Notamacropus eugenii: one gene and its partner. Each later gene encodes a partner of the first gene's protein in a complex. Links are inferred from orthologs where the notes say so. Each region holds a gene or a part of one and is shown on either strand. Other genes may lie near its edges.

Region 1 (3,745 bases):
TTCCTCTGAGTGTGTGTTGGGGAATGAGGCAGGGGCTCTGTCCACTCCCATATATGGGGGGGTTCGGTCAGCTGCCCGGGGGGGGGGGGGGGGGGGGGGGCGGGGGGGTGGGGGGTGGAGATACACTGGTGTGTTAGACCAGGTGAGCCCCTGAACAGATACAGGGAGAGGAAACTCAGCTTCGAAGTTAATTCCAAACATCACGGCTACTTTAAACCTCCCAAAGGCTCCCAAGTGGACACAAGGAGAGGGTGTGACTTCTCTCCAGAGCAAGGGGTAGATTTGGGAGCCACCTCCCCCCAAAAATGCTAAGGGCGTTGTGTTTGTGTCCTGGATAAGTGGAGGAGAGAGAGAACACCGGAAAGAAAAGGAGAAGTGGGGTGGGATGAAGGGAGAAGCAAAGAGAAAGGAAGCAACAACAGGAGAAAGAGAGCTGTGCTTGGAACCAAAGGTCCTGGGTTCGAATTCTTCCCGTTCTGCTTAGAAGCTGGGTGACCCTAGAGAAACCACTTCATTTCCTTCCCTTCGGCCTCAGTTTCCCCATCTGGATGATGGATGGGGGTCAATGGACTGAGGACCCTTCCTGCTCTAGATTACTTCTCCCTCCCCGTGCCTCAGTTTCCCCAAATGTAAAATGGACTAGATCTCTACGGTCCCTTCCATCTCCAGCTCCAGGATCCCGAGAAGAGAAGAAGGGACGGAGGAAGGGACTCAGCCCGTTTGGCCTCCCCTTTACACGGGTGCATCGCCCCCCCTCCCTGTGCCCTTCGACCTCCGACCCCCGACCTCTCCCTGGGTCCTTACAGGAGACACCCCCGCGAGCAGCGATCGCGAATCGGGTTCCGAGCCAAACCTTCTGCGAGACGCCGCTCCGAGAGTCGCGGGCCGGTGGCACGACCCGAACTCGCCGCCCCGGAGAAGGGGAACGCCGCAGCCGCCGGCGAGCCCGTTTCCATCCGCCCGCTATTCCACCTCCCCCCACCCAGCCCGGTCCCGACCCCGTCGTAGCCCCGCCCCCTTTCCCGGAGGCCTATCGCCTGCACGAGCGGACACCGCAGCTCTCCGATTGGTCGGATGGGACGCCCTTCCCTTTTCTCCGCCCACTTGACTCTCCTCCTCTTCCCTTTCCTTCCGTTCTCCGGGGCACGAAATGAGCCTCCGCCCCCTTCCCAGTCTGCGGTGCTCTGATTGGGCTTTTCTCTTTTTCCCGCCCTCTGCATCTTGGAGGAGGAAAGGATGCCTAAAGCTAAAAAAATTACAGTTTCGTTCGGCTCCCCTTTGTGGGGTAGCCTATCCTTTGATTGGCTCTGAGAAACGTCCTTCTACTTTCCCCGCCCCTTGCAGCCTCAAGGGGTGGCTTCCCCTCGTTTTTTCATTAGTTCTTCCGGAGGCCTTGTGGGGGTTCTTATTGGAAGTTCCTTGCTCTTTTCCCCGCCTCCAGCATGCAAGTCTCCTCCCCTTCTCCTCCTCTCCCTCTCTTCGCAGCCTAAGGTGCATCCGTCTCGGCTCTTTCTATTGGTTGTCGGGAGTCGGGGTCTCGGAGTCATCGAACTCACGGTGCTTCCGATTGGCTGGAGCCTGTGGGGTAAAGGGTCGTGGCCAAATGGAAAATGCCGGACGTTGAGTGGCGACTGCTAATTCCCGCCCCGGATGTGGTTGGTCTGGTTGAGTTGTTTACCCGTAGCCTAGCAACGTGGCCACTCTGGAAACTGAGGAAGGAGTAATTGAAGGGAAGGGAAGCCCCGCGGCTGCGCGGGCGGGTAAGTGGGGTCGTGGCGGAGAGGACGAGGTAACGGAGAAGATGAAGTGGACAGGGGTGGAACTTTCGTGCGACTAAAGGTCACGTAGTCCATGCCCCTGCCTCCGGGCAGGAACATTTGCCCAGCCCCTCCCCCACCGGGTGCCTTTCTTATGGCAAGGATCCCCCGAGGCCATCTAATCCAACTGCCCAATATTACTGAGGACGAAACTGAGACCGAAGCAGACAGAGCCAGGATGTGAATCCAGGATCATATAGGAATGTATGAGCTATAAGGGATCTCAGAGGCCATCTAGCCCAATTCCATTATACAGATGGGGAAACTGAGGCACAAAGAGGTCCAGGCTCACAGGGCCAGTTAAAGGGCAAAACAGGGACTGATCTCGGAATCTCCTGGATCCCAGCCCCACGAATATGCTCTGACCATCCATTGAATTTGATTTTGATTTGAGAGCTTTGCAAGTATGCCAACTCCAACTCCACCTACTGGATCTTGCTCCCAGTCTGTCCATAAGTAAATATTTTTTAAGTACTTACTATGTGCCAAGCTAGATGGTTCAGTGTATAGATCACTGGACCTGGAGTCAGGAAGACTTGAGTTCAAATCTGGCCTCAGATACTTACTAACTATGTGACCCTGGACAAGTCACTTCACCTCTGTTTCCTTTAATCCACTGGAGAAGGATACGGTGACACTTCTCCAGTATCTTTGCCAAGAAAATCTCATCAACAGTACAATCCATGAGGTCGTGAAGAGTTGACACAACTGAATGACTGAACAAGAACAATGTGCCAAGCTAGGGATTATGAAATCCCTAGAAACAGAGTCCCTGTTCTCAAGGAGCTTGTGGTTTAATAGGGGAGACAGGACGCAAACAACCATGTCCAGATCATATGTATACAGGATAAATTAGAAATCATTAACCAATGCAAGGTTCTAGAATTAAGGGGTATCAAGAAGTATGTCTGAGGAAGAATGAGGAGCTTGATGAGAGGAAACAAGAGACAAATGAGGTTGGAATGGAAAGAGCCTTGATTTGAATGTCAGCAAACCCTGGCCGGACACTAATGAAATATGATCCTGGGCAAGGCATTTGAGTTTTGGTAGGCCTCCAATTTCATCCTCTCTACAATAATGGTATTAGACTAGATGATCTCAAAGATCCTTTGAGCTGTGAACTTGGAACAAGCTCTGAGGTCAGAATTGCAGAGTCATGAAACCAGAGGGTCCATCATTGAACAAAAATCCTCTCTACCCAGACCTAACAAGGGGTCATCCAGCCTTTGCTTCAAGACCTCTAATGAAGGGATGCCCACGATCTCCTGAGGTAGCCCATTACATTTTAGGAGACCTTTAGAAAAGTTTTTCCTGATCTTGAACCAAAATCTCTTTTCAGCTTGCATCCATTTCTTCTAGTTCTGTCCTCTAGGGATGAACAAAAACAAATTTAGTAACTCTTCAGATAACTGAAAACTGCTATCATGTCATTACATTCCACCTCCACCCCCTGCCCCAGTAATGTCTTATTTAGGCTAAATACTCCCAGTCTCTATATAGAACAACCTCTGAGCCTTTTACCATCCAGGTTGTCGTTCTCTGAACACTCTCGTTCACATGTGTTCATATTCAGTCATGCCCTACTCTCTATGACCACATTTGGGGTTTTCTTAGCAGGAATACCAGGGTGGTTTGCCATTTCCTTCTCCAGCTCGTTTTACAGATGAGGAAACTGAGGCAAGCATGCTTAAGTGACTTGCCCAAGCTCACACAGCTAGTAAGTGTCCTAGGTTTGAACTCAGGAAGATGAATCTTCCTGACTGTAGACCCAGCATTCTATCTGCTGTATCACCTAGCTGCCCCTGAACACTTTACAACTTATGAATGTCTATCTTAAAATTTGGTGCTAAGAACTCAATACATCTGATCTGACTGGAGCAAATGAAAAAGAGATTATCCCCTCCTTATTCCTTGAAGTCAAACTTCTC
Region 2 (3,745 bases), on another chromosome or scaffold:
GTCCCCTAGACAATTTGCTCCACTAGGAAGGATTTCATTGATCTTCCATGCAACCTCAAATGTGGTGGACAATGTGAAAATTTTCAAGTTTATTCCTCTTTATGTCCATCTGTAAACTATGGCTACTAGTCCAGGAAAAGTTTCTCCAGGGAGAGGGAAAACTGACCTCCTTGGTAGATCTAGTTACTGCTAAACTGGATTTTGGCCTTTGATGCCACTGATTCTAACAAGGGAGAATCTGTAGGATAGACCTTTTCCTATGTAAATATTATCAACAAGTAGTAAGCCTAGGAGGGAAACTGAATTTGTCAATTATTCTGAATCTATATTGGCAGTGTGTGATGGGGAACTTATATTACTGGACTGAAATGACAAAACAGGCACAGTTTGACATGTGAAACTTACCTGCGTCATCTTTAATCACCGAAGTAACAAAAAAAAATCTGAATTTAAGTTTTTGAGAACACCATGCAGTCCTAGGACTTCCTCCCAACACGGGTTGGTTAGTTTCAGGTTCAATGACAAATTGGCCTAGCGAGCTCTGGGCCTGCAGATACTTATTGTGCAGAAATCCTTCCAAGAAAAATACGATTTAGTATGTCAATAAGAAAAAATGCAGCCAACTTATTTTACTGCGCGACCTCCGGCTCGTGCAATTCACCAAGGGGCCACCCTTTGTTTAGTACGAACAATACAATCAGGGCAGTGTGAATTTATTTTTCACTTGAAATTGTAAAAAAAATCAAATGGATCGAGCACAGCATTTCAATAGCCTTTAAAAAGAAACCCTGCGTACCGAGCTTTGGAACCACGTTTCAAGATTAGAGGCATTTTAAGTGGCAAATGTCGGAGAAAAAAAAGCTTGAAGTTTTCTCAGCAACTGCAGCAGGAGAACGTGACGGAGAATTTAAAAAAGCCCCATCGCCTGGCCCTATGGAAGGCTGCGCATGGCACTCCGGGCGCGCTGTTGCCAGGAGAACCCTGGGTTCTGCCTCCCGGCTGGTGCCTGACGCCGCAGCCCCGACAACGCCGCCGCCAGGGTTTAGCGGGAGCCTGGGCTACAGCCGGCGCTGCTCGGCCTCGAGGCCCATTTCGTCCCGCTCCGGGCCCAGGGGTGCTTTGAAGGCCCCCGCCACCCCGGCTATTCGGGGAAGGGAGCATGGGTGGGGATGGATGGTGGCGGGGAGGGCCTGCTGGCGGCCGCTGCTTCGCTCGGGCCCGGGAGGGAGGGGCCGCCCCCGCGCGCGCCCCACGTGGGCCGCTCGCCTCCGGTTGGGGGGAAGGGCGGCCCCAGGCTCGATCCCACCGCGCCTCCTGCACGTTTCCAGCCGCCCCCCCTTTTTTTTTAAATCTGGCAATAAAAACGCAGCCGTTCCCAGGGAGCACGAGGGAGGGAGGAAACGAGCGGGAGAATAGGAGGAGGGAGGTCCCCCCTGTGGAGGGCGGGAAGAGAGCGCTTTGGCGGCAATTGTCTAACAACACTCCAGGTTCTGGGGCTCTAGGGCGGGGCCCACGTTTTTATGGCGGGGGCGCCGAGTTCCCAAGGAGGGGTCTTTTGCGTGGGGGGGGGGTTGTCCACGTCTTCCACGGCCCTGCCTCCCCATTCCTTTACGGCTAGGACTTGCCTTCTGGAAGTCGGCGCAGGGCCGCGGCGGGGCTGGGCATGGTGTTTCTCTCCCTTCCCTCCCCTCCCCTTCCCCTTCAGATCCAGGCAGTTCTTCTTTCCCGCCGCCGCCCAGCGCCACCTGGCATCTCCAGGGCGACCGGGCCGGCAACAAGATGGCGGACGATAGAGACAGCGGAGGTAGGAAACCGCCTATGGAAGGGAAGGGCCGGGCCTGGCTTGCTGAGCGTTGCCAGAGGCCTTGGAGGAAGCACCCCTAGAGGATACCCCTGCCTATACCCCTTTGGACGTGCCACCCGCTGAGGGGAATGGGTGCCGTGCACGGGGGAGGGGGGGAGAAGGCGGTGACCTTGGCCCCGCCCAGCGCGGGAGTAGGGGAGGGAGGGATACGTCGGCTCTCCTCCCCCTCTCCTTTTTCTCATCCTCCCCCGCTTCTTTTATCTCCCCTCCCCCAGGCCAGGCGCGGTGCCCGAGAGCTACGCCTCGGCGCCTCCCGCCGCCCCCTCCTCCTCTTCCGGGAAACTGTAGCGAGCGCCCCCGCCCGGGGCTCGGGGACAAAAAGATGGTGTCCCGGTGGTTGTATTAGGGATGGAGGTGGCTGCGTCCGCCCACTAGGGCCGGCGGGGTTCCTCCTGGATCCTCTTTCCTCCTCCCATCGCCCCCACGCGGCCGCGCCGGGCCTCCCTTGTCTCTCTGCCTGACGACCGTTGGCGGCACCATTTTGCTTCCCGCGGCGCGGGGAGGCGAGGGCGGGAGGAAGAGGCTGCAGCGGTTCCCTCCCCCTTCTGCACCATGAAGCGCCTCTCCCCGGCCCTGGCTTGTGCGTAGGAAGAAAGAGCCAGGCCGGAGACAGTTATTTATTCATTTTGGGGGGAGAAAAAAAAAAAACACCCCACACCACCTCTCACCGCGATCATGACCAAGGAAGTGCGTTCGGGAAGCCTGGCCATGAAGTGGGACCGCCCGCCCGAGAGGCTGCCTTTCCGGGGCGCTCCTTGCAAGCAGGCCCGAGGATGCTGGCGCGCCTCGGGCCCAGCAGGCCCGCCTCCCTCTCCCCCTCCCCCACCTCGGCCCGGGCTGAGCTCGCTGCGTGCGGCCCCCATCTGCAGCCGCGTGCAAGCGGACATGTTCTCTTCTCAAGCCCCGGGGGGTTCCCCACACAATAAAAATAAAGGCCTCAGTCTGAGGAGCTGAGGCTCCCTGGAGAAGAAGGCGAGGCCAGCCCGGGGCCCGCGGGCCTCAGACGGGAGGGGAGCCGCCCCGCGGGGCTGCAGAGACCCCCTGAAACCGGCAGTCACCACGTTCCCGTACGTTAAAGCAACCACAACAAAAACCGCGACTTCCTCAGCCAGAATCTGACCAACCTGGACCCCTCCCCCACATTCTCCTGCATCAACTTGAATTTTTCCAGTTTATTGTGTCAGTATTTTGTTTTTACATCACTGTTTGCTCGTTGTTTCTCCGTTTAAACGCTGAGTTCCTTGGGAGCAGGGACTGGTTTTTGCCTTTTTGTCCCCAAGGCTTATTAGACACAATGCCTGGCACATAGTAGGCCTTAGGAAGTCCCTGTGGAGTACTAAAAGCCTAGTCTTAGGTTACTAAGCCCCTCCTCGTGTATTTTCAATATGACTGTTGACAGGGATAAATAATATGCCCTGATTCTGCTTCAGACCAAGCTTCAGGAGCAGGGAACCTTCTTTTGCCTGTCTGTGTCCCCAGCCATACCTGCCATATAGAGCAGGTATTTATAAATGCATGTTGACCGTTTGGAACCTGGTATTGCGGTTCCAACATCACTTCCGGTATAGCGTAAATACTGCTCTAGTTCTGCGGAGGTTGAGAAATGCTTTGCGCTCAGAAAAGTCCTGGCAAAGCAACTGGACCTTAGAAAGGGAAAGCCTATGGCCCCTGTCTGTGGACTGCAGGCGGGCTGTGGAGAACCGAACCTGAGCCAGGTGTCTGTACGTTGTACGGCCTGCAGGGCCACAGAGCGCCGGCTGAGACACAAATTCGTAGCAGGGTTCGGCGTTGAGGTAGGCTGCAGCCTCGAGGAGTTTACGTTCTTTTTTTTGAACAATAAAATTTTTATTTCTTTGTTTTTAGTTCTCAGCATTCACTTTT

What was found.
Region 2: IQCD (region 1) and EFCAB2 share a complex: the UniProt entries of both Homo sapiens proteins name them as parts of the nexin-dynein regulatory complex. The link is inferred for Notamacropus eugenii from reciprocal best matches to the Homo sapiens genes DRC10 and DRC8.

Annotation. Positions count from the first base shown.
Region 1 is NC_092875.1:32,967,627-32,971,371, forward strand, and holds the start of IQCD (dynein regulatory complex protein 10), read left to right. Parts: upstream 1-1,097; 5' UTR 1,098-1,760; exon of another isoform or gene 1,761-3,087; intron 3,088-3,745. UniProt on the Homo sapiens protein: Component of the nexin-dynein regulatory complex (N-DRC), a key regulator of ciliary/flagellar motility which maintains the alignment and integrity of the distal axoneme and regulates microtubule sliding in motile axonemes.
Region 2 is NC_092873.1:406,150,082-406,153,826, forward strand, and holds the start of EFCAB2 (dynein regulatory complex protein 8), read left to right. Parts: upstream 1-1,576; 5' UTR 1,577-1,779; coding exon 1,780-1,804; intron 1,805-3,745. UniProt on the Homo sapiens protein: Component of the nexin-dynein regulatory complex (N-DRC), a key regulator of ciliary/flagellar motility which maintains the alignment and integrity of the distal axoneme and regulates microtubule sliding in motile axonemes.